7 linked regions of the Mus musculus genome follow. The protein of the gene in region 3 interacts with the protein of the main gene of each other region in a pairwise test. Links are inferred from orthologs where the notes say so. Each region holds a gene or a part of one and is shown on either strand. Other genes may lie near its edges. The genes, in order: Des, Fundc1, Ehhadh, Mid1, Kctd9, Kctd6 and Ssna1.

Region 1 (3,380 bases), on a different chromosome or scaffold from region 3:
TTTAGGCTCCTCACTTGTCGCTAAGTTCTCTGTCGCTAAGTGTCTCCCCCTAGACTGAAAGGCCTCCTTAAACACGCTCCAGCATCCCATACATGCGTGACGCTTGTTTTATCCCATCAATGTCTTAGGCGGTTCCTTTTCATCAACAAAACTTTCTAAGTCAGCAGTTGTCAATCTGTGGGGGTCAAATATTAGATATTGACCTTATGATTCTTTTTTGTTTTTGTTTTTTTCTTTTGAGACAGGGTTTCTCTGTGTAGCCCTGGCTGTCCTGAAACTCACTCTGTAGACCAGGCTGGCCTCGAACTCAGAAATCCGCCTGCCTCTGCCTCCTGAGTGCTGGGATTAAAGGTGTGCGCCAACACTGCCCGGTCGTTTTTGTTTGTTTGTTCGTTTTTGTTGTTGTTGTTGTTGTTGTTGTTGTTGTTTGGTTGGTTTTTGACCTTATGATTCTTAACAGTAGCAAAACTGCAGTTATGAAGTAGCAGCGAAAAATAAGTTTATGGTTGGGGGATCTCCACCACGTAAGGAACTGTATTAAAGGGTCGCAGCGTTAGGAAAGTTGAGAATCACTGATCTATGTTATCATGGCCTCATAATACATATACATATTTTATTCAATTGATTTCTCTTTTCTTTTCTTCAATAACTCCTATACCCTTCCATTTCCCCTAACTACCTCAAATTTTCCTTCTGTTTGTTCTTGGGTGTTGTTGTTTGTATTTGTTTTGTTTTGTTTCTTATACAGGGCCTCATTAGGAAGCAGAGGCTGGCTTTGAACCTGAAGTCTTCTGGTCCCAACCTCTTGAGCCCCTGTTAGGATTACAGGCAGCACACCGGCCCTGGCTCCCTCTGGTATTTTAATTGAGACTAAATTCCATTGGAACTGCTTATGGATAGAGGGTGGCTTGACATTCTCTTAAGAGTGCCGAGCTGTTTTTCACCCAAGTAAAAAGTCTTGTCTTTGCACTTCTGTGAACAACGTTATTTTGCCTGGATCGGCTTCTGCGCATTAAAGAAAGGGTTAAAAGGCTGAGCCTCGAGGATGAGGAGTTTAAAGCTGAATGGTTGGGTACAGAGGGAGTTTGCAGCCAGTCTGGGTTACAGGAGACATTGTCTCAATGGAAAGGGACTGGCAGTGCCTTGGGGACAAAAGGACCGAGGGAACTTCCTTCACAGCCAGTCTGTAGAATAGGACTGTCCCCATCCCTACCTTACCCGATGCCCAGGTGATATTAAGGGGATAGGTAGCCTAAGGGGATAGAAGGCTGGACCGAAGGCTCTGTGGCTTTTTAACAGAAACCCCTTCTCCAGCACCCCACGCTCCCCAGACTACAGCACCCAGAGGCCTACTGTTCAATCTCGCTGAGCATGACACTGACACAGTTCATCCCAGGGCAATGGGGGTGTGACACGGTCCAGACTCCCCCTGAGACACAGTCAAGATGACAGGGCCATGCAGGTTTGTGCTTGTCTCTTTATTATTGTTTCTGTCCAGGCCCCTGCGGTGGGAGGGGCAGGCAGGGGAGGTGGTACCCTCCCACCAACCTGAGCCCACTCTCTGCCTCTCTCTTCCTTCCTCTCCAGCTCCTCACCCATCCTCTCTCCTTCTGTAGCTCCTGCTCCCACATCCAGCACCTTCCGCTTCCCTCTTACAGCCCCCGCTTTCCAAGGCCATCCTGGGCTGCGATGGGAAAGAGAGGGGCCATGAGGGCAGTTTTCAGGCCCCCCACTCTCCATCTCAGCTCGCTGAGGCTTCATTCTGTCTCTGACCCAGGCTGGGGATGTCCACAAACTCGGTCCTGACCCTGCAGATCCCAACACCCTCTCTGGTACCCTCTCCTAAGCCAGGGGTCACAAAGGTGGAAGGGGAAGGGCGATGACTTGAGCTGGGTTCTCTCTTAAGAGCCAGCTTTGACACCTGCCAATAGCCAGGGCTCATGGGAGGGTCTGCAGAGGTGGCTGAGGGGTTCCCTGGGGTTGGGCAGCATGAAGACCACAAAGGGGTGATCGGTGAGGGGGGGTCAGAGCCTGTGAGTGGAGAAAAGTGGCTGGGTGTGATATCCGAGAGTGGAAGAGGCTGGCTTCAGGAGGCAGTGAGGACGGGGCCAGGACACTGAATTCCTGGCTTACAGCACTTCATGTTGTTGCTGTGTAGCCTCGCTGACAACCTAAGCAGGAGGAGAAGGCCAGTCTATCCACTGCTGGCTTAGAAGAGCCTCACCCCAAACTGTTCCACCCCAAGGCAGCAAGGCCCACCCACCCCATCCAGGGTTGGAAGCCACCCAGCTGGTGAAAGACACCGGGCTGTCAGACAAGGGGTCCGACACCACTCACCTCTCCATCCCGGGTCTCAATGGTCTTGATCATCACTGTCTTTTTGGTATGGACTTCAGAACCCCTTTGCTCGGGGCTGGTTTCTGTAATAGACCCACCCCATGCTCATATGAGCCTGGCCAGGTTCATACCTAAGCTGCACCATGACTGGAAATCCACCCCAGGCTGCATTGCTCCAAGTGCTAGCTGACTTTCACCTTTCTTATGACAACTGTCTGACTTCTTTGAGACCTCATCCTGGAACCCAGCACCCAACAGATGATTTATAGAGAGAGGGACCAGTCTTGCTAGAGGAATGGCTTCAAGAGCCAAAAGATTGTGCTGTGTGTTGGTACAGGATAGCAGGGGACCCAAGGCCCGGGAACAGTATTCATGTTTCCTATCCTGCCTTGCTCTCTCTCCACCTCCAGATTTTCAGAAGAGTCCTGAATGGTGAGTTTATATCCGTGGACTCTCATCTAAGACAGGACCTCAAAGCCCAGGCCTATAGACCTGCTGGAGGAACCTAGAGGCTCCAGGATGAGCTGTTTAATGTCTTAATGATGCAGGAGCTAGTCCCTCCTGTGCCTCAGTTTCCTCTCTGGGAAGTAGCAGCCATGATAGTCCACTTATTCTGTCTCAGAGCTGCTGATCCGCAGCAAAAGTGATTTTATATGCAGAACACATACTTGGTATCTGAATAAACAAATAAGTGAAAAAAGAAATCTGAGTTTTCATAGTGGGGGTCACATTTAGTTCCGTGGTGTCAGGAGTTTGGCGCTCATGAGTCCCTTAGCAAGCAACTAGGCTGTAATGAACGTTTGACTCGATGGAGCACAGCGTGTATTTTTCCTGATGGAAATGAACATCGAAGATATAAAAGGTTTGATCTAGGAAAGGAGACGCTGCCAAGATCTCCGACTTGCTCTCCTAATGTATCATTAGTGAATTCTTTTCTGCTCTCTGGGGCTGGGAAGCCACTTGATCTGCATATTACTAATGTCAGGATGGCAACGTGCCCTCAAAGCTCGTTCGCCTCATTGTTTGGCTTTGCTAAAATTTGG
Region 2 (4,550 bases), on a different chromosome or scaffold from region 3:
TTCACATTCAAATAATAACAATTCTTAAAATCACAGCTTTGTGGTGAATGTCGGTAATCACAGCACTGGGCAGAGTGAGACAGAGGAATCCAGCATCAGAGGCCAGCCTGGGCTACATAGTGTGACCATGTTTACAAACAAACAATCCTAATACTGGAGAGGCAGAGGGAAGTAGGTCTGTGTAAGTTTGAGGCCAGCGTGCTCTACATAGGGAGTTCCAGAGAATCTTAGGTTATGTGAGATGTTGTCTAAAAATAACCAACCAACCAAAAATACAAGCAAAAGTCTGCTCGACTAACAGGGCACTAAAAAAACTAGAGCCCTCAGCAGTTTGAGAAAAATGTGACCTGGGGATCCATCCCATATACAGTCGCCAAACCCAGACACTTTTCTGGATGCCAACAAGTGCTTGCTGACAGGAGCCTGTTATAGCTGTCTCCTGAGAGGCTCTGCCAGTGCCTGGCAAATACAGAAGTGAATGCTCACAGCCATTCATTGGACTGAGCACAGGGTCCCCAATGGAGGAACAAGAGAAAGGACCCAAGGAGCTGAAGGCATTTGCAGCCCCATAGGAGGAACAACAATATGAACCAACCGCTATTCCCAGGATACCCAGGGACTAAACCACCAACCAAAGAAAACACATGGAGGGACCATGGCTCCAGCTGCATATGTAGTAGAGGGTGGCTTTGTCAGTCATCAATGGGAGGAGAGGCCATTGGTCCTGTGAAGGCTCTATGCCCCAGCATAGGGGAATGCCAGAGCCAGGCAGCAGGAGTGGGTGGGTTGGTGAGCTGGAGGAGTGGGGAAGTGATAGGGGGAGGAGGGTTTTCAGAGGGGAAACCAGGAAAGGGGATAACATTTTAAATGTAAATAAAGAAAATATCTAATTAAAATTTTTTTTCATTAAAAAAAAAAACCTTTAAAATATTTGCCCTGACACTTGTTAAAATAGATAGTGGGTCTATTTTAATTTGGGATACAACAACAACAACAAAAAGCTGGAGATTTATAGTGCATAATCTGAGGGGGTCGAAGTGTAGAGTCCTACCAAGAGGAGACATCAAGGGAGTTTATTGCTGAGCTAGTTTAATTGGGTTCTTACTGGAGAATGACTGGGTTATTAGACATCAAGCAAGAAGTGGGCCTGAAATTTCTGTTAAAGCCAACAGAATTCTTGAAAGAACTAAAGGCCAAAGATAGGGCCTGAAAAAAGAACACCTAATCAGAAAGACAGCTTCGTTGAAGCATCCTGACTAAAGACTTGTTAAGAACAGTCTGCCAACACTAAACTGATTATCTTGTTCTATTACCCTTAGCCGCTCCTCCCTCCATTCCTTTAGCGTAAAAAACAAACAAACAAAAAAACCAAAAAGCAAAAACAAAAATAAGACAAAACAACAAAAAACTCTTAGAAACTTAGAGCAGGTTGGGGTAATGCCCAGGCTACAGTGGAAAAGAGCACGGACTACATTTCCCATAAGCAATAGGAGGGCGGGGACTCAGCTATTCCATCACAAGTCCCAAGCCTTGCGGCTGCGCACAAATTGTTGGAGGTCGTGTACAGGGAAGAGTGGCGGTGACGCGACTGTGTGGGCGGGGCGAGGAGGAGGCTGAGGAAAAAAGAGAGACCATAGACTTCCAACTCGGCCTAGAGCGTCCTTTAAAGTGGTGGGGAGAGGCGGGCAGGGACCACCCCCAACTGGCCGCTGGCGGTATCATGGCATCCCGGAACCCCCCTCCCCAAGGTGAGCAGCCAGGGCCCGAAGTAGTCTCTGGGACGCTGCCCACAGCACTCGACCTTTTATTGCTATGGTGTTTCTCCCTTTCCCTCCTCCAGTGTTTCTGGGGCTCTGTCGCTGTACAGCCCCTTTGCGAGAGCCCCTTTGAACCAGAGGTCTCCTTTCCCTCTCTGCGGAATTTAGCATGCTCACCTACACCTAACCAAGGCTAGACCCTGCCCTGCCCTGCCCCCACCTCGAGCCCTTCTCCATCTTGCAAAATTAGGAGGGTTGGCGGGTTGATTTCCATGGTTGGTTGCGTTTTAGTCCTGCTCTGATTTCCTCTTGCTAGGTTCCTGACTTTTCCTTTCATGGAAGGATCATCCCCTCGCCCCCTTTTCCCACAGATGGAAATGTACCCTGCCCTGACCTTATTCTCATTGTGCGGGTGACCGCCCACTGCTTTGTAATTCAACTGGCCTCTGGCTGCGTGTCCCTAAGCCTTGGGAAAGGAAATGCCGATGCTGTTGCTAGGCCCTTTATGCTTGAGGCCCTAGTCTCCCAGATCGAGTTAATCACGCTCCTTCGTTTACATCTGGGCCTTTTTAGTTGTAGACCAGACATGACAGTGTGTTGGCCCACAGGTTTTATGAAAACAGCTTGTGAGACGTTTCAGACTGTAGAATGAATGTTTTTTTTTTCCATTTTGTATTTTTAAAGACTATGAAAGCGATGACGAATCATACGAAGTGTTGGATTTAACTGAATATGCAAGAAGACACCACTGGTGGAATCGAGTATTTGGCCACAGTTCCGGACCTATGGTAGAAAAATACTCAGTAGCTACTCAGATTGTAATGGGTGGCGTGACTGGCTGGTGAGAACATTCTTTTCATTAAATTTTAGTGGGAACCTGGCTCTTGTCCTTTTGTAAATGGCACAGCCTCCATAAATCTTCAGTGGCTCCCCACTTTTAAATTCCAGAAGAACACAACTTTGGGGCTTTTCCCGGATCTTATTGGTTGTATCAGCCTTCAGATAGTCCTGGTTGGATTTTGATGATTTCCCTCTGTCAAAGGCCCACCATAGTTCCACTTCCACCCTTTACACTTCCTTTAATTCATTAACAAATTTTCAACTTAAGCAAGTTAATTATAAGTAAGTTGTTACTTGCTATTCAGTGCCAATAACTGGAAAAAACATGAGAACTCCCATTGCAGAACTAGCCTCTAAGATTCTCAGCTCTGTACATAGAAGCATTAATGGTCTGTAAAAATTATTCACAATGATGCATCAGATTCTACATTTTTTGTGTACTGGTTCTGATTATGATAGTGCTTTGAAGAAGATCTGAGAAGATTGCCTTTGCTTTAGAATTAATGCAATGATTACTTATTATGCAATAATTTGGAGTACAATAAGGAGTGGCTAATAACCATTAATCAAGCAACAGCTCATGTAAGCACATATTTACATTGTTGTTACCATGTATTTTAATTCTATTATTTTTGGAATAAAATATTAACCAGATAAAAAGGGGCAGAAACAGTTCAGTATTTTGAAATATGTTGATGACTCTTTTTTTTTTGAAGTGACAGTGATTAAGTTGTAAGCATTTTTTTTCTTTACATTTAAGGTAAATTCATCTTGTGCTAATTAAAATATTTACATACTTCCTCTTGGCATGGGAAAATGACATTTATTCATGTGTGTTTTCCATGAACCTCGGAATAATGATGCCCCATGCCTTCTTGTAAATGCCATTTCATAATTTAAAACAAACAAAGAACAATTATGGTGAAGATTCCATGGAGCACAGGCACAGTATTAATACTGCTTTATTGAAAAATCATACAGTTAGAAGGGAAATTTCTGCTCAGGGCCTCGGTCAATTAGATGATTCACTGTAGGATGATTACAACTCTGCCCCCTTAAATGCATTTATAATTTGGTGCCAGAGGTGATTGGTTAGTGAGAATCATGGCGGAAAGCCAGATCGTTGCACATTTTCTTCTTACAGACCTAACCTGCTAAGAAGGCCCATAACTGCCAGGTCTTCCTGAAAACCCTAATGGCAGAGCAGAAGTTAGTAGTGACTGGTACACAGCTTGTGTAGCTGTAGCATTCAACCTGGGGTTTAATGAAGACCTCACTACTTGCTTTTTTCTTTGTTCTTCCTTACTGACTCCTGTATAAGAACCATATTCTTGATAATAATAACAACAACAACAGTAGTAATACATTTGGATTGTCAGTATCAGACAAGTATTCAACCCAGGAGCTATGTAATAGTTTGTGGGTATTTGTTTTTTACATCCATCTATTTGTGTGGGGGGCACAGATGTGTCCCAGTATATATGTGGAGGTCAGAGGACAGCTAGTAGGAGTTTGATCTTTACCATGTGAGTTTTGGGGATCAAACTGGGCTCTTTAGACTTGGTAGCAAGTGCTTTGACCTGCTCAACTCTCTCTATGACCTGGTCTGTGTAATAGGACACTTATATTCAGGTGGCTTGTTTTTGTTTTTGTTTTATGTGGGCACAAATTCAGGACCTTGCAAGCATTCTAACTCTAAGTGATATTGCCAGCTACATAGGTGATTTGTTGGAATGATTTGAACTGTAGTTTAGATTCAGAGTAGAAAACATTTGAAATCTTTTTAGGATATAACATTGATGTGATATTGTGGCATAAAAGAGGAACAGTTAATATAGGCATAAACCTAACTTAACACTTGAGACCGACCAGCTCAAGACATGAATAGCCTAAGGAGATTGGATTTAGCCATAAGTTTTTGGTAATAAGAAATGAAAACTAGTATGAGAAAAG
Region 3 (4,760 bases):
AATCTCCATTGCATTTACCTTAAGATTTCTCCTGATTGGGGAGGGACATAGCAGGCTAAATGCTAGGAACACACCAGAGAGTACCAGCAGGAGTGGTTGTGAGACTGTGGGACATTTCCCTCCTGACCTCTTGATGGACATAGTACTCAGGATCAGAGAGTTCAGTAGAATCCCTCTATCAAGTAATCCTATCAGTACATGAGCGCCCCACGTGGATACGGAGCCATATTGCTTATGCTTTCTTTGTGAGATCACGTGCTGTAGCCACTTCCTGGTTTCTGGGCTGAGATCAAGAGTGAGACTGGCATGATCAATAATTTGCTTCTGCCCTGCCCAAAGTAGCCAGTAATTTTTGCACATTATGTATTAATCAATGCCATCCTTCATATTAACATAAGTACAGTATTAAGTCAAGTGTGGTGGCACATACCTTTAATTCCAGTGATTGGGAGACAGAGGATAGTGGCTCTCTGCAAGTTCAAGGCCAGCCTAGTTCACATAGCTAGTCCAGGTCAGCCAGAACTACAAAGACGCTGTTACAAAACAAACAAACACAAACCCAAAACAACAACAACAAAAACCTCTCTTGGGGGCTGGTGAGATGGCTCAGTGGGTAAGAGCACCCAACTGCTCTTCCGAAGGTCAGGAGTTCAAATCCCAGCAACCACATGGTGGCTCACAACCATCTGTAACGAGATCTGACTGGAGTGTCTGAGGACAGCTACAGTGTACTTACATATAATAAATAAATAAATAAATCTTAAAAAAAAAACTCTCTCTTTTTTTTTTTTTTAGCCTCCATGAGTACCAGGGCATGTGATACACAGATATACTCTCAGGTAAAAGACCCATACACATAAAATAATAATAATAATTAAGTTTAAAAAATAAAATCTAATAACAGTGTGGTTTTAAATCTCAGTTAAAATGAACATGTCTCCTCTTTTCTGTTGTTTGTTTGTTTGCTTGCTTTTAAGATTTTTTTTTTTTTTTTGAGACAGGGTCTGAATAGATCAACAGTTCCTTCTGCCGCAGTCTCCTGAATGCTTCGATTCCAGGTGTGTGCCACCCCGGCATCTGTTTGGTTTTGCTCCAGCAGCTGGTGGTGGGAATTTTCAAATGGCCTATGTTTACTTTATTTATTCTGCTACTGTGCTGCTAGTTCCTTGGGATTGACGCATTCCCTCCCGAAGGGGCTAAGACTGGGGACGCTAAAGAGACTGACAGGGCACTGAAAGCTAAACACATCTACTGATGTTTAAGACGCCCCAGGAAGCTCAGAAACCTGTAAGTTTCATAAGATCCGTCTCCAAAGTTACAGGAGAGAAGCAATTGTGAGGAGGGGGCTCCTCACGAGTTGGGGTGGGCTTTCCAGGGGTTCCGTTGTTTCAGAAGCAACTATACTCTTGTAACTGACCTCAGTAAAGTCACTAATCTACCGAGCTAGACGTGGGTGGAATCCTTTACTTGGCCGGTCACAGATGCCCTCTCTCGGGTGAACGGTTAGTTGTTCTCATCCATTGTACAGGACTATTCTCCCAGCCAAACTGCTGCAAGTTTGGCTTGAGCCTGTTTGCCAAAGATCGCCAATGCTGGGCTTGTTGGTGGTAGACTTTCATAGAAGGACTGGACCAGAACACTCTGATTATCCAGCCACCCCTCTTTGCCCTAATTGTACCCTTGGGTCTCTAGGAAGGACTAGAGGATATAGGTAGGGAAGGATTAGGGGAGGGAGTTCTTTATTTATTTTTTTTTTCTTTAGTTTTTCGAGACAGGGTTCCTCTGTGTAGCCTTGGCTGTCCTGGAACTCACTTTGTAGACCAGGTTGGCCTCTAACTCAGAAGTGCTGCCTCCCGAGTGCTGGGATTAAAGGCGTGCGCCACCACGCTCGGCTGGGGAAGGGGTTCTTAACTGCCACGGGGAGTCATGATCTTTGCTGGGGAGGGCTGATTCCAATGTGGCAGTTCTAAAGTCACTCATGCTCCTGTCCCCGCCCTCCCCTCCCCCAACCTGCCCCCAGCGCACCACCCTGTTCTGAAAGTAAGCCTAAATCCATTGCATTGGTCCCCTGCAGAGTGAACAGGGCTGGAACTGTACCTAGGTTTGTCCTTTAGACTGTAAGGTCTCACCTGAGAAAAGGGTTTTAGCAAGGTCTCACCAGTGAAAATTATACAGTATCTGTCACAATCCTGTCCACCACTTCTGCAATGTATGGGTGACTCCTCCTGAGGCTAATATAGAATTATACTCTATTCGCCGGTGATATGGAGTGAACAGGGTAAATGAATATCATTTTTTCAAGAAGACAGATCTCATTTATAATAGTAATGTGCTAAGTGCATTGCACAGGAGGGCACTGCAGGTGGTGTAAATGAAACTTCAGCTTTTCAGAAAATACTATCCAGTAGGCCTCCTCTGACAGGGAGAGTTGACACTCAAGGCACTAAACTCTGCTTTTCTACGAGTCAGCTAACTATAGCTTTTGGCATCACAGAGACGCTGGGGTTGCAAGCCGGCAGTAAGGTTGCAGGAAGGGGTTCAAGCAGACACTTGCTGCATCAACCTCACCTTTGTAAGTTCCTGATTCGCCAGAACCAAACGTGGGCCTCGCAGTGAGGTCAACAGCTGACAGAAGGAAGGCCGGAGCCAGCTGCTCATTGGCCCGCCCTTCCAGCTGAGACAAGCCCCCTCCTAGACCCGCCACACCCCACTGTCCGGGCGGTGTTACCTGATGGCATTGACCGGTGGATTGCAGAGGCGGATCATAGCCAGGGAGTGGGGCAGCCTCAGATACTCAGCCATTTTCTCAAGGTATCCTGCGCCTCTGATGTCTGGGGCAGCCCGGGGCTCCTTTTCTGGGCCGCCCTGAGAGGAGGGGCGTGCTCTGAGCCAATGGGAGCCGCTGCTACCGCCTCCTGCCCCTTGCACTTCGTGCTCCCTGGGGCGGGCTGCGCTCCAAGGAGCGCGATCTTCCTATGCTTCCAAAGGGAATGTCCACAGGCAAGCCAAACTGCTGGGTCACACCACCAACGTCAATCACATGTTCACAAAACAGCCATTTACCAGGGCACGAAGCCCCGGCCTTCTCTAGTTCTGTCCCTCCTAAAGGCTGGGATTTTTCACAGTTCATCCAGGAACTGCACACATATTATGGGCTGGACGTAGGCTGCAGCCTGACAATAAACCATGCCTTGTCTCTTCCCTCTAAAACAGCCTGGGGCACGGTCCTTCCAGCTGCGCATGGCTCCTCTTGGTTGCCAAAGTCCACCAAGTGGACAGAAGACAGTGTGCAGGTTGACAAGTAAAACCGTACTTGTAAATCTTCACTGATGTTTCACAAGTTTTAACAATGTCTAAATATTATTTCTAGGAATGTTACTTCTAGGTATGGTGTCTAGGAGAAATCAGTCCCAGCATCCTAGGAACCTGAGCAGGTAGAGTTCAAGGTTTAATAGCACTGAGTGGCCTTATTACACCCCACCCCCTTGGAGCAAGGATCGATAATAAGCCCTCTTTGGAGTCATCTCAAGACACTTTATAATCTCCATCTGTAGGACTCGGTCACTGGCCATTAGGTTTGCACTTTTATTTTAATTGAGCACGGAACTTTCTGTGGTGTCTCCCACAGTGGGTTCTTGGTGAAGGCTTTAATATAAATCCATTAAATGGCTTGGATGTTTACAGTTGGCACCTCGGTGGGAGCAGAACCAGCGAAAGGCAAGTAAGGCATTTAGGGAACAAAGTTCAAAGGGCAGTTCCAATCAGGTTCTGCCAGTGCTCCTCAACAGCAAAGCCTCCTATCACTTAGTCCCTCTGTAAGTGGCAGAGGAATAGGGATACAGCTAGGTGGCAGCACAGTGGGTTCTCTTTTCCTAATGGTACAGAATTGTCTACAAGCATGGGTTCCAAAGTTGCTGAGTTCATGGATGCCAATTAAGCAGGTTCTACCGTGTTGCTGTGTGTAGATAGTCTTTTGATCTTCCATATCCTTCTATTTTACTTATTTTGTCTTACAAATGTAACCATACTTTTGGCTACGTTCCTGGATTACCTACTATCTTTCTCCACCCCAATCCCTTCCAACCCCACAACACTAGGTCAGTCAGAAAGAGAGTTAGAGGGAAAGGGGGCGTAGATCTGTTTAGACTACTTTCTGCTGATTAAGGGCATCAAGTTCCTTAGGGGCAAGTCCAGTCTTTGTCTTCAGGATATCCAATTTCTTCTTCTCATCTTTGCTCACAGCAACAGGAACCAGCAGCAGCAGCAGTGGTGGAGGCAGCAGCGGCAGCAGCAGCAGGGGGGCAGCAGCCTCCACAGCTTCTGGGTCTCTGGCATTTTTATACCCTTTCAAGAGTCCACAGAATTCCAAATGTAAACTAATTTTTTTTTTTTTTTGGCAGAATCACACCCCTGCCAGAGCATGAGACGAATCATAGTCAGCTGCTGTGAGAGCAACCCCATATTCCACACCTGGGACTAAAACAAAACATATTCACACACCATAACTGTTTTCAAAAAAGAAACAAAATTCTTACTACATACACAGTGCTACTTCATAGGATATCACTGTCTTAGGCAAGCACCTCACTCTTTCACTGTAGCAACTGTGTCATCTTACATCCTATGTTCACAGGGTATCTCAGGTTTGTTAATGCTTCAAAAAAAATCACTATAAGCCCTGAAACCACTACAGTGCCCAGAGGGTAAATGCTGAACTCTGTCACAAATACTGAGTTTTTGCCTGCTGGACCATGCAGGTC
Region 4 (4,609 bases), on a different chromosome or scaffold from region 3:
TATTTTTTTCCAACTTGAGAATGAAATATTTGTTCTTAGTCTGTGGTGGGACAATTAATGTGACTTGCTATTTAGGGAGGATATTTGCAGTTGTGGGAATGTCATAAGCAAACCTGTTGTTTTTGGCTGGACTTCTATAACAGGTGGCCATGCCTTTCCTTTTGCCTGGGAACGCAGCAAATTCCTTCTCAAAGAAGAATCTGAAAAGTTTTCCATTTTTTTTTTTTGATCAAAGTGCCAAGAGAGGTTGGCACACTTTAAAATGACTTCCTGATGAACTTGTCAGGTTTATGTTTGTTTGCTTGCTTGTTTCATTTACCTTATAAGAATTTTGACCTGCACTGTTTGTGTGCTGACAATCTGGTAAGAGCCCAAACTTTCTGAGTCTTACACACAAACATGTAGCCTTCTAATTGTGTTGGCGAGTTTTGGGCTATGGAGAATTTCTAACTAGTTAGTGGTAGGGATCTGTCCTGGCTTGCCACCCCACTGTTCGGCATTTGCACAGCCCTAGGGACGGATCACTTACCAGCAAGAGGATTGTGTTTCATTGCTGAGCTGATGACACATGGGTTGGTTTGATAGCTAACCCTGCAAATACAGCCAGGGGCTGCTGGGCCTAAGATGACAAATTGGTTGGTGGATGTTATTCCTCTGCCTGAATGAAGTGGTAAGGTCTCTTCCCCTCCCCCAACAAGAGAAACAAGAACAAATCTGGGACTCGCCCATGCAGTAATGCTACCATCTCATGCCTGGTTTCTTGTATGAACAATGATCGCTACTCTTGCATCTCCTCCCCCAGTCCCTCCCTCTTTTCAACTACCCAATAGGCGAAAGAACAATGTTATATATGTATCCAGAGATGTGGGATGAAAAGATGGTCATTCATTAAATAACTAAGGAGTTACTACATGCCTACTTGTACAGTTAAAACTTCAACACTGGGCTGTTTGCCAACTTCATACAAATGCCACAGTTCCACATGGGAAAAATCATCCCAAGCTCTGGACAAGCCTGCCTGAGGCATCAGACAGAGGGAGTGTCACCCCATTCCAGAGGAACTGTGTGGGCACAAAGATTCTAAAAATTGAGTTCACACATCACCGAGGACAAGACAGGTGGCTTCACACAGCATCAAATAACTTCTTTGTTCCGGCTTAGGACCTTTGTGAAAAATAGTATTGTGTACCTATTCTCTTTCTTGCTCCTATCCAGCAAGCCTCCTTGCCCCTTTTGTCTATCTCATGTGCTTGCTAGAAATTCAAAGAATGAGGCTGCTCTATAAGATCGCAAAACTTCGAGAAAGCCAGCCTCTGCACCACTCTCCAGCTAGGCAGATGCAATTTGCTGAAAGCACACACACAGTCTTTCATGTGCTTTTTTCTGTACTCCTGCAATTTCCCAAGCTCGTCCAGAAGAGCAAGTTAGCGAATAAGAAATGTGAGGGCCTTTGCTCCTGACCTTTCATGCAGGGCCTCTGCTTTACCTCTGCGGCAGTGAAACGGAAAGTCGTAAACCCCTTGGCCCAACCACTCATGGGAAGGTTTACTTTCGCCTAAAGTGAACACTTTGGGGTGGGGCACACCCAACTCAACTGGAAGAAAAAAGAGAAGAGGTTTTCCGGTGACAAAACAGATGCTCAGTTTCCCACCCGGAGTTACTCCGCTCTGGCAAGAGTAACTAGCATTCCTCCCCGGGAGTCTCTGTCCTTCCCAGTCACTGAAAGGCTTTTACTTTTGTCTTTCCCTTGTGAGTATCGATCTCGGCAATAAAACATTGACGTAAGATTTTTTTTTCCAACTGTGATAGAGTTGTAAATTACACCCTCTTCTAGGCTTTGTAATCCAGTCTTTCCTTTTCTCTTTTTCCTCAACGGCAAAGCTATAAACCTCATAAACTTCTACCTAAGTTGATAAGGAATTGTATCCCTATGCCCTAGAGCGACGGAAGAAGCTGCTGGCTTGGAATTCTTCACAGAGACACACTCAAGACCGGTCTCCCTTCAGTACTTCCGGGACTGTGTTCTTACGTCCAGCAGCAACACAAAATACAACTCCTAAAGTGCTAGAACGGTTTTTAAAAAAGTCTGTAACACCCCCCTCCCCCCTCCCCGCGCCTGCCTCCGCTGGAAGTGCAGCTTGTTCCATCCAGACTGCTTTCGCCTTCTCAGCCTCGGACACACAGTAAAGTGCTCAAAACGTGAAAGCAAAATAAGATAAGAGTCCCAGCGTGCTTCTTTGTCAGACTGTGCAGTTGTCTTTATTCTAACCTGAAGCATAATAGGGTAGAGGCTAAAAGCTTGAGATGAATCCAGCACAATACATTCCAGAGGCCCGCAAACTGGAATTGATTTGCATATTCCACAAACCGCTCTGAACCTTTTACAAAGACTGCCTGACATCAGCAACCACTCTTAGAAGCAAAAGCTGGCGCGGGTAGGTAGTAAGGACGAGGCAGTGGGGTGCCGGCAGGTGATGTGCTTTCTAAGGTAGCCTTAGGAAGAGAAGGCAGTCCCCTCCTTCCACCTAATGGATCTGCTGGAACGCTGCGTTTGATCACTCCGCCCGCTCTGGGAGTAACAGGTCGCAGGGGCCCCAAGCTAAAGCCCTCCTTCTGTGGCTGGCGCCAGCACAGCTACAATCACAACCCCCAAGCTTACCTGCCTCATGTTTAGAATTCCATGACCCATCCGGCAGGGAGCAAGCTGCTCGGAAGCGCACCCGCAGGCTTCCAAGCGCAGACACCAAAGCCGGCAGAAAAGCCCACAAGACAAAAGCAACTCGGTCGAATCCACAGGCAGCAAAGAGCACGTTTTTCGTCCCCCTCCCTTTTTATTCTTTGATCTGCTTCTAGACGCTCTCTACCCAAGACAATGTCAAGTTTCTCAACCTTTCCTTTTCCAGCCTATGAAAAGTCGGGCGCAGGCTAGCGAGGACCGCCTGGCTCTTATTTCAAATCAGTTCACAGGGACGTCGTAGGCGGCGGGCTCCGGTCGCGGAGAGCCTCGCCAATCAGGAGCAGTGGGTGGACCTGGGTGCAGGAGAGGCTGCCTTTACCAGGATTAGGGCAGCTTTCAGGAGTCAAATGACTGGAAGCAGCTGGATGTTGTGTCAGAGCTCCCCAAAGTAAAGGATGAGTTCTATTCTTGTCTAACAGACTGCATCTGCTCAAAGCTTAACTAGCTCCGGGCCTTAAACCCTTGCACTTTAAGAGCCCCTTAAAAGCATTAAAGCATTTTAAAGGTGAAGAATGATTTCAGCGAGAAAACCTCAACCCTCAGGACCCAAAGATATTTTTTAAAGTGTATCTTGTTCTAGATACCTAGTTTTGTAAAAACAGTGAAGGGAAAAACCACACTGCTGTAAGTATCACTCTAACTGAAATAAGCAACCAAGACAGTTACCCACCTCGTCTTCACATAAACTCTATATCCAACCTAAAGAAGCAAATGTTAATGGGACTGAGCACACAAACATTTTGAAATACAGGACTTGAGGAAGAATCTTCATCGATGGTGACTGAAAGCACAATTTCAGATAAAACATCTCCTAATTAGAACAATGAATACAGAAATTTAGTTAATGAAACTTCTTTTTACATAAGTGTATGTACCTCTTTGAGTGTTTGAGTTTATCAGTGCTAAACTGGTAAGCTCACTAATTTATATATATATACAAAAAATATATATATACAATATATATATATTCCCAAACAAGTGCTCACAGTTTGAGGATAATCCAATATATATATTAAGTTTTTGCAGTATTAGTAAATAATAACAGATAAAATAATGATTTAGTGGTTTCAGGAGTGCTGGAGGTGTGGTTCAATATGTGTGAGCTTGGCTGAGTTCTCTGAGATTTTGGCAGCAGGGCACCAGCACCTGGGAGTCCATAGCTCTGCCTCAGCTCCCCACTGAGAAGTTTTAGAGTCCCCCTAATCACACCAGCTGCCCTCAATCCATTTATTTGTTCTTCAGAGTCATTCACTATGGCCTAGACCCAAGCTTGTTTAGCCTTTTCACATGGTGATACCTTACTAAAACAAATCACACACACACACACACACACACACAAAACACACAGATACACACAACACACACACTGAGAGAGAGAGAGAGAGAGAGAGAGAGAGAGAGAGTCCTAATGTTTTAAATACATTTATAATGTTGTGTTGCACAGTATTCACAGTCATCCTTAGCCACATGCATCCTTAGGGTCATGGGTTAGGTTGAACAAGGTTGGGTAGATGAAGGCTTCTAAACTTTGAAATTACTAGCATTTGCAGACAAATAATTCCTCACCATGGACCTAGCTGTTCAGTGTGTTGTCAAATATTTAGCAACATCAGGACCTTTGCCCACTAGATGATCATAACTGATTAATATAATATAAAGATATCACTGGATGTCTTCTAGGGATCAAAACCAATGTTTGTTAAAACCAATTCTAGTTAAACATGTGAGAATGCTCATGCCCCTGGTCTAAGAGAAACTGATTGGGTTGGTATACCAATGATGCTGGGAATCCATACTTTATCCCAGTGCCAACGGGCTCTGATTCACTTTGAGGAAAGTCTGCATCTACCACTGCCCTAGATATATCTTAGC
Region 5 (4,420 bases), on a different chromosome or scaffold from region 3:
GGAGTCGCATCTGCTACATGCTTCTGAGGAGTCACAAACGGTTCAGTTCCCAATCTAAAAACGTCATTTTCTGAAAACGGACAGCACATTGGGGGTGTTAATACATCAAAACACTCAAATCTTCCATCTAACGAGGGCAACAGGTCACCACATACCAGAATTATTAAGGACACACTCCTTGGATTCAGAGAGAGGCTTGTCGTGTGAACTCGCATCCATCTAAAAGATGAGGAAGTTAGAGAAAAAAATGTGAAAAATAACCTCACTATAAGCCAAAAACAATGTGACAGAACTCTAAGGCAATCAATACCAGGGGACCACAGGCTGGGGCGTTCTGATTAAAGAAACGGCGGGAGGTACTATTGACTAAACAAAGCGGACCGAACTGATTTATCAGGGCTTTGCATCCCTGAACCCCGGCCGGATAGCAGGCCTACCTCTCCCGCCCAGGACCCTGCGCGTTCCCTCGGACGACTACGACAAGCGTCGCGGAGGCTCCGTTTCAGAGAGCACCAGAGGCCGGGGAAGGGAGCCGGGCTGGCCTCCTGCCGGCCGCTGCACACCAGACACACCACGTCCGGCCGAAGCGGTCAAGCTTCACTTGCCCGCCAGCAAATTCAAACCGCGGCCACGCCCCCGCGGAGGGATACCCACGAGCCGTGGACCACGTGTGACGTGGGTACCGCTCCCTCCGGGCCTCACCCTCGTGCTTTCGAACGGCGCAGGGAGACCTCCGTGGATCCCGGAAAAAACACGGCCAGCCCTAAATGACCCTGGCGAGACAGAGCTGCAGCAAAAAGGTGTCCTGGGGTCTACCAGTGAGTTCCGCGGAGCAACACTTCAAATGCCACCCCAAACCTTGGATTGGCTGCTGGAAACTTCGAAAATGAATCACTAGACCAATCGAGACAGAACCGCCGGATGGCTAGTTTACCCTATTAGCCAATCCCGATACCAACCGTTACCTCGGTGGGTGGGTACAGTAGAAGGGGCAAAAGCCTAGCGAGGAGCTGATTGGTCTATGGGACTTCGGCGTCCCGCCTCTTCCTTAGACCCAGTCTCTTTATGCAAATGAGCACTCCTACACTCCAACGTGCGCCTGCTCAGTAACGCTTAGAGCGGCCCTTTGCCCAGTAGGTTCTTCTCTGATTCGCTGATACTCCATTCCGTCAACCAGCCCTCAGCCTCTCTTTCCTTCCACCGCCGTCTAGTGTTACTCTGAGCCCACCCCCCAGCCGGACTCTGATTGGCTAAATACTGGCCGGTACAGCGTGTTGATTGGCGCAGCTCAGCGTCGGTCTGGGCGCGGTTGGGGGGAAGGGCCGCTAGCAGGCTGAGGAGCCTAGGGGCGGGGTGGGAAGGAGGATCGGCCAACCCCGGGGTGTGGGACTGAGGGTGCGTGCGTGAGGAGTGTGGGGCCGACCAGGAAGGTGGCGAAGGGCGGAGAGTCCGGGTGGGAGGCGGGAGGGGTCTCGCGGGCGCGGAGCGCGGCGGGTGGCGGGCCGGGAGCGAGGGTGGCGGCTCCCTCAGGACCCGGCGCGGGCGGCGCGATGCGGCGGGTCACGCTGTTCTTGAACGGCAGCCCGAGCAACGGCAAGGTAAGCGGTAGCGGGGGCGCGACCCGGGGACCCCCGCAGCCTCCGACAGCCCGGGGCTGCTCTGCCGGCGGGGCTCCGAGGCGCCACTGTCACCTGAGCAGCTGGCCGAGGTCCCCTCCCACCTTCCCGCTGCGCCTTCCTGTCCTTATCGGTGCTGAGTAATGCTCTGCCCGGGGAGGAGGCAGTGATCATGGAGGCGGGTGACCCTGGCCAGGTCGGGAGAAGAAAACTCCAGGGGACAGTCGAGTGACATCCTCAGAATGTGGACCTGGTCTGAACCACTTTCCTTCTCTCTCAAGGTGCCCCGGGCCCCTTGCCCCGCCACCGTGCAAACTTTTATACATGTTTTACTGTGCCGCCTTGTTTTTGATTCCTTAGAGGACAGTGACAGCAGACCTTCGGAATGACTTGATTTGACAGTAGCCTTAGCTGCATTTAGGCCTCTGTGGAGGGCGTGGTGCTAAATATTTTTCCGATGTTGCAGCTGCCTCTTGCCCCACCCTTGAAAGTTATTCTTTGGAAAATGTTGGCTGTTTCTGGCGGACTAGTAATGTGTGGTTAAATGACTGCCCCACACATACCTAAGCCTGATTAAAGTCTCAAAAGTAATGAACCCTTTTAAAGTTTCAGTTCAAGGTACATTGGCTCCACTCTGTAATTGACCAGAATACTCTGATTGCCCCGCGTATACATAGCAGAACTAACTATTCAAGGGCATTAAAGTGGTGCGGGGGAAGGGGGTGATGAGGGGTAGGGGAGCGATGTCCTTCAACCACTCTGCAGTTTTGAATAAACAGATTCTGGAAATCTGATCCACAGTGGGGTTTGTGCTCTGCGATTTTATTTTCTTAAAGATTGGATATTCACACAAAAATAGTAGCCACATAAGCTCAGCCAGTGCTTCAGAAATACAGGCTAAAAAGGCTGTCACTTCTGATCATCAGCTGTTCCTGGGCCACGCTGTAGTTGGCTAGTAGACTGTGTCGGTTTTTATTGAGAGATTTAGTGTGCCCAGTGTTAACAGTCGTATTGATAAGCACTTTTCACCAGTGTCGACTCTTGTGTGACTCCCTGAAGTCGAAGTGATCAGAGTTCCTCATAAGTGCTCAGCTCTGCTCTAAATCTCTTCTGAGTTCACTGTATGCTATTGTCACTGTAAAACTGAGTGGCTTGCTCTGGGTATATTATTTAAATTTTTAAAAACTTTGGTTTTGTCTGTGAGTTTCCAGGTTAATTTTATTTACTTAGTAAAAAAATGTTGAGAATCTCCGAAGATTGGGGAAAGTACTTCTCAAATGAGTATGGGCACATATGCATTACAATGATCATAGGACTGAGCCGAAGAATATTAACATTTAATATTTTTAAAAAAACTATGTCCCACCATGTCCTAAGCTAGAGAACATGTTGCAAGGCTGTTTCCTCTCCTTTCAGAAGGTGGAAATAATACTAAAATGACTTTTATTTGAAAAGATCACAATACATACCACCTGCATTTATGTATGTGGATATGTAGTGTATGCATAGTCCCTATATCTAATCAGGACTGGCATAAACATGACATGGACGCTCGTTAAAATATTCCCAAATGCAGTGCTACTCTGAGATAGTTTGGTTTCCTGTCTCTAAAGTAGAATATATCATTTAGCTTGTCTCTTTACTTACCTGGTGTCTATTTTTAATGCCCTAGTCAGGAGAATAAGTTTTTTGAATGCTTGGCTTTGTGGCCTTTGGGCTATGGGCTGTGATATAGAAAGGCACAGATTTCATCACCATACATCAAGTTACCAACATGCACTTTTGATTTGTGTAACTGATTCGTGCTTTTAATGTTGATGAAAGAGCTGATATTTTCTAAATGAAATGAGAATACCGTGGAAGGTGTAAGATGACCCTTGGGGCTTTATGGAGGAGTGTGTGTGTTGTTGGTTTTTTTTTTAATTTGAAAACAAAATAATTTTAAAAAACAACAACAACTTGGCTTTTCTAATCTGGAAAAGCATGGGAGCCTCTAGTTACTGAACTTGTCAAGCTGGTCTTGTTTTCTTCCACAACAGAGGTCTCCAGATGTAAATAGGTCGATAGCCAACAGCTTACTTAGCAGTTGGTTCTCGTTGACATACAATGTATAGAAGAAGCCTGTAAGTATAGAAGTTTACATCAGGGAGTCTTAATTAAATTAGCCATCAACTAAGTGCTAAGTGACTTTAAAACCTCAAAGAAACTGCAGATTGAAGCCGGTATTAATTATGCAAGCACAGTAAACCCTGAGAAAGCGGCAAAGCTGCTGCTTTTCCTAGCATCAGCAGTAAAGTTAAAAAATAAAAGGATCTCACAAGCCAACGAATGGCATGTTTTAAGAAAAGTCTTTGCTTAATAACTGCTATAATCAGCTTCTTCCTTCGGGTATATTGTTCTTTGAACTATTAGCCCGTGGTCTGCTGAGGTCATCCTCGTCATGACAGGCCATGACCAAGACATGAAAAGTCTTTTCCTGTACATGCAGGCAAAGGTCTTGGATTTTTTTTTTTTCCTTCGCCTTAGTTTTTAAAAACCTTTGGGATTCTGGAGAGGACTCAGGGGTTAATAGTACTGCATAGGCCGCAAGTGTGAGGAGCGGAGTTGGGATCCTAAAAAGCAAATATTGGGTAGATATATGCAGCAGTCCACCTGTAACCCCAGGCCCTGAAGGCAAAGATGAGGGGTCCCAGGAAGAAGCTGCTCTCTATGCTGACCATGTTGGCAACTCCGGGATGAGTGGAGAAACTGCCTCAGTGAATAAGGTACAGAACAATGGAAGAAGGCTCTTCAAATCAACCTTG
Region 6 (4,697 bases), on a different chromosome or scaffold from region 3:
ATATTGTACTAAATTGATCACCAATAAAGTCAAAATGGGAGTAGTCTTGATTGATTTAAAATTGGTATGTGTTCCTTGTAAACATAAACAGAGACGCAACTAGAGAGACAAGAGGGGCAAGATTCTAGCCTATCCAACAGCCGGACTCTGAACTGATGCCTGCCAAGAACATCTCAGGGGTGGATACAATAAACACAACCCAGAAGTAGCTTCAGCTTCTTCCACCTCATCGTTCTCCAGGGACGCTAACAATTCATTTCCCTTTCATCTTCTCTCCCATCCGGCACAACCTCCTCCAGTGGAGGGCTTAATGAGAACAAGCCAGGCGACAGAAGGCCTCCAAGGGGGCATCAAGCAGGCCAAGGTGAAATGTTTCCTCATAAGATTCCTTTAAGTGACTTTCCCTTACGAAAGATCTTTCTTAGAGTCATGGCTACAACCAACGACTATAAAGTTCAAAGAAAGGCTTTCTGACTTGTAAAATCGGTTTACCTGAAAATACCTGACCTTTGATTCAAAAAAAAAAAAAAATTATGGTCCTAAAGACTATCATGCTTGCTTGAACTTCAAAGGTCATTGTAACTAATGTGTAAAATCTGATAGTATGTTAGCAGGTAGTTAAGAAAAACATATTCTGAAGAATTTCTAGAAGCCTGAAAAGAAGTTACTAATTTACTGACCCTAGCAAATCTGAAGAATGCACACTCCAGGAAGTTAACAACTTAACCTGTGAGAACCCTCCTTACCACAGCAAAGCTACAGTGGGGGTTATGATAAGACAGCACAAACATTCTAGACTTACTTCTGCTATTGAGTAAGACGCTCCAGAGCAAAAGTCCTCCTCCCCTGTAACAGTCTATATGCCGTAATGCTAACCTCGGATTAGAAAATGTAATGATACAACTGTAGTCACTGCCTTCCCACGCTTTCTGGGTAGCCCTTCCAAGTGCTTTTCTACTGAAACCTTTGTGTCTGCCATCCCAAAATGAAGACCGGTAAATTTTCTCTCTCCACCTATACTTACCTTCCAAGCTGCCTTTGTACTGAGTTTCTCTGTTCTTGGGAACGTGGGAGTTTGAAAGTGAAATACTTTTTATAGTAATTGGTTCAGTGGCATCTCCTGGCGTCTTCGGAGTTAACATCCACATACAGGCCAGCACAAGTAGCGAGCGCACAAGGATAATGGGATTATAAAGCTAAATTACCACTAACTAAACCCCTCTCTCAACCTCGTGGGCTAGAAGAAAGGAAATGTAGGCAAAAAGGGAGAAAGTCCTACAAGAAATTATGAATCTTCTGACAGTATCAAACCAGAAGAATATATACTCTCCAGCTTAAGTGCTGTCAGAGTCACAAATCATAAAATTCTACTTTCCCTCAGTTTCCACCAAAATGGGTATTATGACCTTCCCAAAAGTAACCACACCGTTTAAACACAATGGAGGTAAAACTGGCCGACAGGGCAGTGAGGAGTGGCGCTCTGGATTCACGTGCAGCATGCCAGCAGAGGGCTGTGAGAACCTGAGTAGACCGCCCTTTACTACTCGCAGCATCACCAAAATTTAAATAGGTAAGTCAGACACGGTGGGCGAACATGCAGGTTAGGACCAATCTGTGTTCCCACTCTGTCCCGTCCCTGGCCCTCCTTTCCCGGAGATCCCACCGCAGTTGCCGTGAGAAAAACTAAAGGTAAAATGATGTCCAGCGTTCGCAGAGACAAACAGACACGTGAGCTCTCGGGACTTCTAGAAAGCATGACTCAGGGTTGTCTCAAGATAAAGCAGAAGACACACATACGTGTTCCGTTTAAAATAGACCCCAACTATTAAAATCCAGGATGCGACGATGGATCATAGGAGTGACCATAAGACTGCTTTCCACGCTATTGCTTCAGCTAAAATACACTTTAAAAATTTTCAAATTCTATGGCCATCTTTCTACCTACGGTATTACAAAAAACTAAGAATCCGTGTGGGCTCCTGGTTTTCATCCAAAGGGTGATTCTCCCACCCTACCTACTTAGATCTTTACTCTTTTGAAACACTTCTGGCTTTGGGCCTGTAATACCCCACCATTATTCCCATACTAGAATATCTGCAACAGCGAAAAAGATGAGCCTGCCAAGGGGGGTACATTGGAGCAGGTTGTTTGGGCTATCCCAGACATTCTTAGCTAAACCAGGTCACATCGGTCTATTTGTCTGCATCACGAAATCCTGAAACCAGGTTTATCAACTTGCTGTATGTACTGGTGTACAGAACAGAAACATGACAACTTCAGCAGAATATCCAAACAGGATCTCAGTCACGTTTCGTTTCCCCGTCCCACCCCCAGACACAGCCTCCGCTGCCATCGCCCAGCAGGTGCTGCAGGGGCTCCCCACGACCTCGCCAAGGATCACCTCTTAACACCCAGCACTAAATCGCCGTGACATCCCAAAATTCCGGTAAAAAGCTGCAATTTGTGCACAAAACCCAAAAAGCAGAGCTTTAAACTAGGGCAGTGGCGGCTAATAAACACCACTCCCCAAAACACCAACCCTTTGCCCCGCAGAGCCCGCTGGTCCCTACTCCGCGGTCTCCCGCAAGCCAAGCCCGGCCGGCCACGCGCACCGAGCCCCGAACCCGAGCCGGAGCCCAAAGCCCGAGGCGGCCGCGCGTCCCCGATTTCCCCGCCCAGGCCCCGCCGCGGGCTCGTGCCAGCCCGGGGACGCGCGGCCGCCACCCGCCGTTCTCCTCAGCCCGACTTCCCGCAGCCCCGGCCCGCAGGCCCCGCTCGCGCCCCACTCACTGCACGAGCGCGGAGGCGACCCGGCCGGGAGACGCCGGCGGCCCGAGAGCGCGAGCGCGGGGACGAGCGAGCCCGCGCCCCGCGGCGGCAGCGGCGGCGGTGGCGGCGGCGGCGGCGGCGGCGGCAGAGGGGACGAGTGAGCCGGAGCCCGGAGTTGCGGCTCCAGCTGCCCGGCGCGGGCGGCGCCTTCTCAGCAGAGTCGCGGCGCCGAGAACGCGGACGCCCCCTATCGGCGGCGCGGGGCGAAGGCCGGGAAGCCGGATCGCCGCGGGCACTCTGGGCGCTGCCGGGGCGGCGTGGTCAGGCGGGCTCTGCAGCAGTCCCGAAGCCCCGCCTCCGTCCCGTTCCTATCCCCGCCCCGCCCAGGACTCCCGCGCGGAGCTCCGCCCAGGCCACGCCCCTAACTCCCCCTCCGCTTTCAGCCTCTCCTCCTGGCCGCCAGCAGTCTCTTCCCTGCTTGCCCAGGACTCCTTCTCCGCAACTGTTTCTCCTCAGCTGTTTTCACTAAGTCGATAGACCTCATCGCATGCAGGGCTTAGAGAGAAGAGCAGCCACCCAGACCGAGGCGCGTCTCAAGACTCAAAAAAGCAGCCAGTAGACACACACAAGACAAGTTCGAATCCTGGTGAGAGCGGTCCAATAAGAAGGCTGCCTTGGCCGGGCTTGGTGGCATACGCCAGAACTCCGGAGGCAGAGGCAGGTGGATTTCTGAGTTCGAGGCCAGCCTGGTCTACAAAGTGAGTTCCAGGACAGCCAAGGCTACACAGAGAAACCCTGTCTTGAAAAAACAACAACAAAAAAAAGAAGGCTGCCTTGGAGAATAAGGGAAGATGTGACGATCTGATATATATAAAATATTAGTATACATTTAATGTTATTAATATTGATGTAATTATATTATATTAATATATACATAATAATGTAGTTAATATTATTAATGTATTAATATATAAGACTCCTGGCCTTATATATTAAGGCAGGCCATTCTGTAAAGTAATGGCTTAGAGGGACCACCGATCCAGCCTTTTAGGCAGAGAAGAGCAGCCAGTTAGAAGGGCAGAGCTAACTAACGTCATCCTGTGTAATACCTCTGAGGATCTTAGTCTGGATGGGACTGGCAAGGGTAATGTCCCTTCAGGAAGGACATCAAGGCTGCAGGGCTAATTGGATTCCATGCATAGACAAGATGCAAAAGCCACCACTTCTAGCTAGCCAGATCTCAATCCACTTCTACATGGGTGAAAAGCCACTGGCCTTAGAAACTCACCTGGGCCAGGCATAGTAAAAGTAGTGCACATCCTTAATGCCAGCACTTAGAGGCAGTGGCATGTGGGTCTCTTGTGAGCTCTAGGTTAGCCTGGCCCACATAGCTAGTCTCTAGGACAGATGAGGCTACATAACGAGACCCTTTCTCAAAAGAACAAAACAGAAACTTACCTGGTTTACACATCTGCATGTTTGTGAGGTGGTTCTGAAATCTAGTTTTTATATGTATGATCATCATCTAATATTCTATTTTTTCTCCAAAAATCAAATTGATAGGTTAAATAAGCAATGTGGACTTCAACACAATGGACGGCTACATTGACATCTAAGCAAGGATACAAACTAATTAAGAATATGGGAATAGGGCTGGAGAAATGGCTCAGCGGGTAAGAGCACTGACTGCTCTTCCGAAGGTCCTGAGTTCAAATCCCAGAAACCACATGGTGGCTCACAACCATCTGTAATGGGATCTGATGCCCTCTTCCGGTATGTCTGAAGTCAGCTAAAGTGTACTTATGTATAATAATAAATAAATCTTTTTAAAAAGAATATGGGAATATGCTCCTGCAAATCAGGACACAAAATCATACATACAGGACCCCAATGTTGATTTTAATACATACAGTACCCCAATGTTGATT
Region 7 (3,695 bases), on a different chromosome or scaffold from region 3:
AGGGTGGTTGTCACGGCCTCAGCACAAACCCGCTCCAGCAGACTGAGCCTATGCCTAGAAAAGATCCCCGCTCATGGAGAACCCACAACACACATCTGTCCCTTACCTAGGAGGGCTCTCCCCATAAAGATACTGCACACACACCCTATGCCTATGTCCAGGACAGTATAAACGTGATGAACAATAATCCCTGGTTACAAGTATGGGCAAAAAAGACATCGCCAGTTAGTCTATAAGCTCTATTGAGAGGTCTTTTGAATTCAGGACTAATGAAGCTTGCAGAGAAACCGCAGCATGGTTAGGAAGCAGTACTCACAGGACCTGGCTCAGCTGGTTGAACTGCTCCAGTGCCTGCCGGCACCAGCACTGCTGCTTGTCACTGCCACATCCTGCGCACAGAGGACTCTGCAAAAGTCGGTAGTACCTGCGGCGGGCATACCGGCTATCTAGCTCACCCTCTAGTTCCGGGTCTGTGCCCCCTTCTCCTTTTCTCTTGCTCTGCATATAGACTCTCAAGAAACGACCATAGAGGCGCTGGACCATCTCCTGGAATGTCCTAGGGGTGGAAAAAAACAGGACTCCCCGCAACATAGTGTGAACTTTCTCCCGAAGCCCCTGAGCTCCAGCGCCCATCAGCAAGCCCAGACGAGTCCATTTCTCTAGGAGTTCTAGGCTATGCAGATAGGGATCCAAGCGGCTTTCCAGCAGACCGAACGCATCCAGGAGCAGCCCAAGGCACTGGGGCTCATCGACAGAGTTTTCTCGCAGAGCGATGGCATTCCAGAACTCCGTGGCAATATTGCCTTGAAGGTCGTTCTGCAGCACTTCCACGAACCACTCCTCCAGGACAGAGTGCAGACCGTGTCCCCTCAGAACCTCCACCGCTGCACGAAGCTCTTCCTCCTTTGGTGGGACTGCACCGCTGGTCCGGGAAGACGCCTGGAGCACGGAAAACCGTGAGCAGAGGGGCGGAATAGGGGTAAAGGGAGAGGAGGGGCATGGAAAAACCCAGCAACCGAAGAGCTGCCAGGGAACCAAACAAATCAGGTAGCTGAGGAAGGAGGCAAGCCCACTACAGGCAGGCCACGGAGCTGTGAGGCCCCAAGGGTGGACCCCCTAAAGTATGCAAAGTCGCGGGAAATCTGCACAGGCCCGACAACCTTTCCCCGGCCTCACCAGCCCCAGCGCGGCCGGCGGCACCAGACCGGTGCTCACAGTATTCCAGGCAACCAAGAGCTCCTGTCCAGGCCTAGAGTCGCAGTCATCGGAGGCAATAATTGTCGCCGCCGCCGCCGCCGCCGCCGCCGCCGCCGCCACCGCCACACCCTCGGCCTCCATCACTGTCCACAAAACAGACCCGCCCAGTAGAGCGCACGGTGATGACGCAAGCGCGGACCTGTGGCGCAGCCGTGACGTTCACCAGCCCGCGCGCTTTGTGGGCAGTGCGCAGGTGCGGACTTAGCTGTGCAGGCGGCGGTTGAGGCTTCCGGACGCGGTGCAGACCATGACCCAACAGGGCGCGGCGCTGCAGAACTACAACAACGAGTTGGTCAAGTGTGAGCGTCGGGCACTGAAGGCCGCGGGCCGGGGCCGGCCGACCCACTCGGGAGGCTGCGTGGACATGCCTCACGAGCCCCGCTCTGCGGCCTGCCCCTCTGTCATTGCTGGTTGGGGTCGGAAGCTCACGAGTCCCCACCCACAGCTCTGTCTTCCCACCCACCCTAGGCATCGAGGAGTTGTGTCAGAAGCGAGAGGAGCTGTGCCGGCAGATCCAGCAAGAGGAGGACGAAAAGCAGCGGCTACAGAATGAGGTGAGGCAGCTCACGGAGAAGTTGGCCCGCGTCAACGAGAACCTGGCGCGCAAGATCGCCTCTCGCAACGAGTTTGACCGGACCATCGCAGAAACCGAGGCCGCCTACCTCAAGGTGGGGCTCTCAGATGTCTGTTGTGAGTGCCTTACTACCATCTGAGGCTAGGTAGGGCCCATTGTGGTTCAGAGGCTGTAGGTGGAACAGTGGGCTGTCTGTGGGTTCCAAAAGTGAGCATTGGTGTATTGGACAGAGTACACGGTGTGGGCCTGAATTAACCCAGCCTGGCTTTGCAGGGTGGAAGAGCTCTGGGACAGGTGCAGAAGGGAGGATGGTTTTACTCCATAACCAGTTGGCTACAGCACAGATGACCAAATTGAGATTTCCATCCTCCATTATTAGAGCCTGAGGCAATGGGACCTTCCTACCAGAGAAATAACATCCTTTTATTTCTCTGGCCCCAGATCCTGGAGAGCTCTCAGACTCTGCTTAGTGTACTCAAAAGAGAAGCTGGGAACCTGACTAAAGCCACAGCTTCAGACCAGAAGAGTAGTGGAGGCAAGGACAGCTGACGAGTGCCTGTTTCAGCCGTGGCCTATGGCTGCTTAGTCCTCAACATGTCTGTCCTAAAGCATCTTTGTTCTTCGTGGCCTCAGATGTCTTTTATCTCTGGTGCCCAGAGGGGCAATTTCTGACCTCCACCTGCCTAGACAAGAAAAGCCCTAGGACAGTCCAATGGAAGAGGTGTTCCCAGCTCCGTACTCACATGTGCTGTGGGGACCCTGAGCAGCTCCATGAGGGGCCTCTCTCTGAAGCTCCTGAATCCCTTTGGGCTACCAGGAATGTCCTGGTCCTGGTCTGAGTACTGTGGGAGCCCCTCACTTTGTCTCCCCAGCCACTAGGGCCCCAGGCCAGACATGTTGAAGAAAGAATCTTGACTCCAGAACCAAAACCTTAGGGCCCATCCCCATGGCCTCTGGTGTTTCAATAAAGGTTGTTTTGCAAGATCTGTGTCTGCTAGCTACCATATATCCTGTTGGTAAGAAGACCTGCAGTTTTTCCCTTTCTTATCTTCAAAACACAAAATGCTGAAAGTACTCACCTCACACAGGTCAGCCCTAGCCCTTAACTCTCTTTGCAAAGGTGCTGGTGTTTTCCCCAAGTCCAGAACACAAACCACTTTTCTGTGAGGGGCTTTGCTCTACGATGGTGCTCAATACAGAACCTGGCTCAGAGATAGAGACAGGGACAGTAAGTTCTGTTTGGTCCAATCTGCTGCTGCTGCTGTTAGGACCCATCTTCCAACCACATGTGTTGCTTACTTACTATTTCCATGTGCCCTATGACCCAGCCCTTTGTCACAGCTTCTGGGGAAAGTTTGGAAGTATTTGGTGACCAAAAAGATCCAGAAAACAGCTGTGGTAGTTTACACCTGTCATCCTTCGTTGAGGAAGAAGGATCGCCTTAAAATCAAGGCCATTCATGTCTGCATAGTAAACTGTAAACCAGACTGGGACATAGTATGAAACCCTTTCTTAAACAACAAAAAAAGTACCTATAAAGCTGGGCTTTTACTCTCTGAGAGAAACCTACTTCAACATTCTCCTTAGCTCTAGTCAAGCAGTGACAGGAAAAGAAGACACATTCGGTGCCTGCAGATGGCCTACACTGGCTGCCAAGGCCTCTGCGAACAGTTTCCAAGCAGGCAGCTCTGCATTCCCCTAGCCTTTTGGGAATCTCTGTTGCTATAGCCTTGTTACAGGCTTATACATCGGGAGGTATCCAAATCAAACATGAGAAAAGATCTCCAAAGTTCCATTTAGCCCCATTCCTGTGTGATACACGACTAGCTACTTTACTAGGCTCCTAGCCCTGTGCTGAATCCTG

The links.
Region 1: the proteins of Ehhadh (region 3) and Des interact in binary tests that used the Homo sapiens proteins (3 or more experiments, as listed by UniProt). The two-hybrid records come from large-scale screens. The link is inferred for Mus musculus from reciprocal best matches to the Homo sapiens genes EHHADH and DES.
Region 2: the proteins of Ehhadh (region 3) and Fundc1 interact in binary tests that used the Homo sapiens proteins (3 or more experiments, as listed by UniProt). The two-hybrid records come from large-scale screens. The link is inferred for Mus musculus from reciprocal best matches to the Homo sapiens genes EHHADH and FUNDC1.
Region 4: the proteins of Ehhadh (region 3) and Mid1 interact in binary tests that used the Homo sapiens proteins (3 or more experiments, as listed by UniProt). The two-hybrid records come from large-scale screens. The link is inferred for Mus musculus from reciprocal best matches to the Homo sapiens genes EHHADH and MID1.
Region 5: the proteins of Ehhadh (region 3) and Kctd9 interact in binary tests that used the Homo sapiens proteins (3 or more experiments, as listed by UniProt). The two-hybrid records come from large-scale screens. The link is inferred for Mus musculus from reciprocal best matches to the Homo sapiens genes EHHADH and KCTD9.
Region 6: the proteins of Ehhadh (region 3) and Kctd6 interact in binary tests that used the Homo sapiens proteins (3 or more experiments, as listed by UniProt). The two-hybrid records come from large-scale screens. The link is inferred for Mus musculus from reciprocal best matches to the Homo sapiens genes EHHADH and KCTD6.
Region 7: the proteins of Ehhadh (region 3) and Ssna1 interact in binary tests that used the Homo sapiens proteins (3 or more experiments, as listed by UniProt). The two-hybrid records come from large-scale screens. The link is inferred for Mus musculus from reciprocal best matches to the Homo sapiens genes EHHADH and SSNA1.

What each region holds. Positions count from the first base shown.
Region 1 is NC_000067.6:75,365,800-75,369,179, reverse strand, and holds the end of Des (desmin), read right to left. Parts: intron 2,421-3,380; coding exon 2,338-2,420; intron 2,172-2,337; coding exon 2,130-2,171; 3' UTR 601-2,129; downstream 1-600. UniProt on the Homo sapiens protein: Muscle-specific type III intermediate filament essential for proper muscular structure and function.
Region 2 is NC_000086.7:17,569,351-17,573,900, reverse strand, and holds the start of Fundc1 (FUN14 domain-containing protein 1), read left to right. Parts: upstream 1-1,575; 5' UTR 1,576-1,720; coding exon 1,721-1,748; intron 1,749-1,893; exon of another isoform or gene 1,894-2,032; intron 2,033-2,441; coding exon 2,442-2,598; intron 2,599-4,550. UniProt on the Homo sapiens protein: Integral mitochondrial outer-membrane protein that mediates the formation of mitochondria-associated endoplasmic reticulum membranes (MAMs).
Region 3 is NC_000082.6:21,784,979-21,789,738, forward strand, and holds the start of Ehhadh (peroxisomal bifunctional enzyme), read right to left. Parts: upstream 2,857-4,760; 5' UTR 2,803-2,856; coding exon 2,729-2,802; intron 1-2,728. UniProt on the Homo sapiens protein: Peroxisomal trifunctional enzyme possessing 2-enoyl-CoA hydratase, 3-hydroxyacyl-CoA dehydrogenase, and delta 3, delta 2-enoyl-CoA isomerase activities. Catalyzes two of the four reactions of the long chain fatty acids peroxisomal beta-oxidation pathway.
Region 4 is NC_000086.7:169,877,960-169,882,568, reverse strand, and holds the start of Mid1 (E3 ubiquitin-protein ligase Midline-1), read right to left. Parts: upstream 2,951-4,609; 5' UTR 2,660-2,950; intron 1-2,659. UniProt on the Homo sapiens protein: Has E3 ubiquitin ligase activity towards IGBP1, promoting its monoubiquitination, which results in deprotection of the catalytic subunit of protein phosphatase PP2A, and its subsequent degradation by polyubiquitination.
Region 5 is NC_000080.6:67,714,787-67,719,206, forward strand, and holds the start of Kctd9 (BTB/POZ domain-containing protein KCTD9), read left to right. Parts: upstream 1-1,311; 5' UTR 1,312-1,550; coding exon 1,551-1,598; intron 1,599-4,420. Other genes in the region: Cdca2 (cell division cycle-associated protein 2), read right to left, coding at 1-70, 156-219. UniProt on the Homo sapiens protein: Substrate-specific adapter of a BCR (BTB-CUL3-RBX1) E3 ubiquitin-protein ligase complex, which mediates the ubiquitination of target proteins, leading to their degradation by the proteasome.
Region 6 is NC_000080.6:8,212,436-8,217,132, reverse strand, and holds the start of Kctd6 (BTB/POZ domain-containing protein KCTD6), read right to left. Parts: upstream 3,053-4,697; 5' UTR 2,791-3,052; intron 2,632-2,790; exon of another isoform or gene 1,025-2,631; intron 1,019-1,024; exon of another isoform or gene 1-1,018. UniProt on the Homo sapiens protein: Probable substrate-specific adapter of a BCR (BTB-CUL3-RBX1) E3 ubiquitin-protein ligase complex mediating the ubiquitination and subsequent proteasomal degradation of target proteins.
Region 7 is NC_000068.7:25,270,159-25,273,853, reverse strand, and holds Ssna1 (Sjoegren syndrome nuclear autoantigen 1 homolog), read left to right. Parts: upstream 1-1,435; 5' UTR 1,436-1,504; coding exon 1,505-1,556; intron 1,557-1,725; coding exon 1,726-1,925; intron 1,926-2,272; coding exon 2,273-2,380; 3' UTR 2,381-2,815; downstream 2,816-3,695. Other genes in the region: Anapc2 (anaphase-promoting complex subunit 2), read right to left, coding at 1-54, 317-939, 1,177-1,338. UniProt on the Homo sapiens protein: Microtubule-binding protein which stabilizes dynamic microtubules by slowing growth and shrinkage at both plus and minus ends and serves as a sensor of microtubule damage, protecting microtubules from the microtubule-severing enzyme SPAST.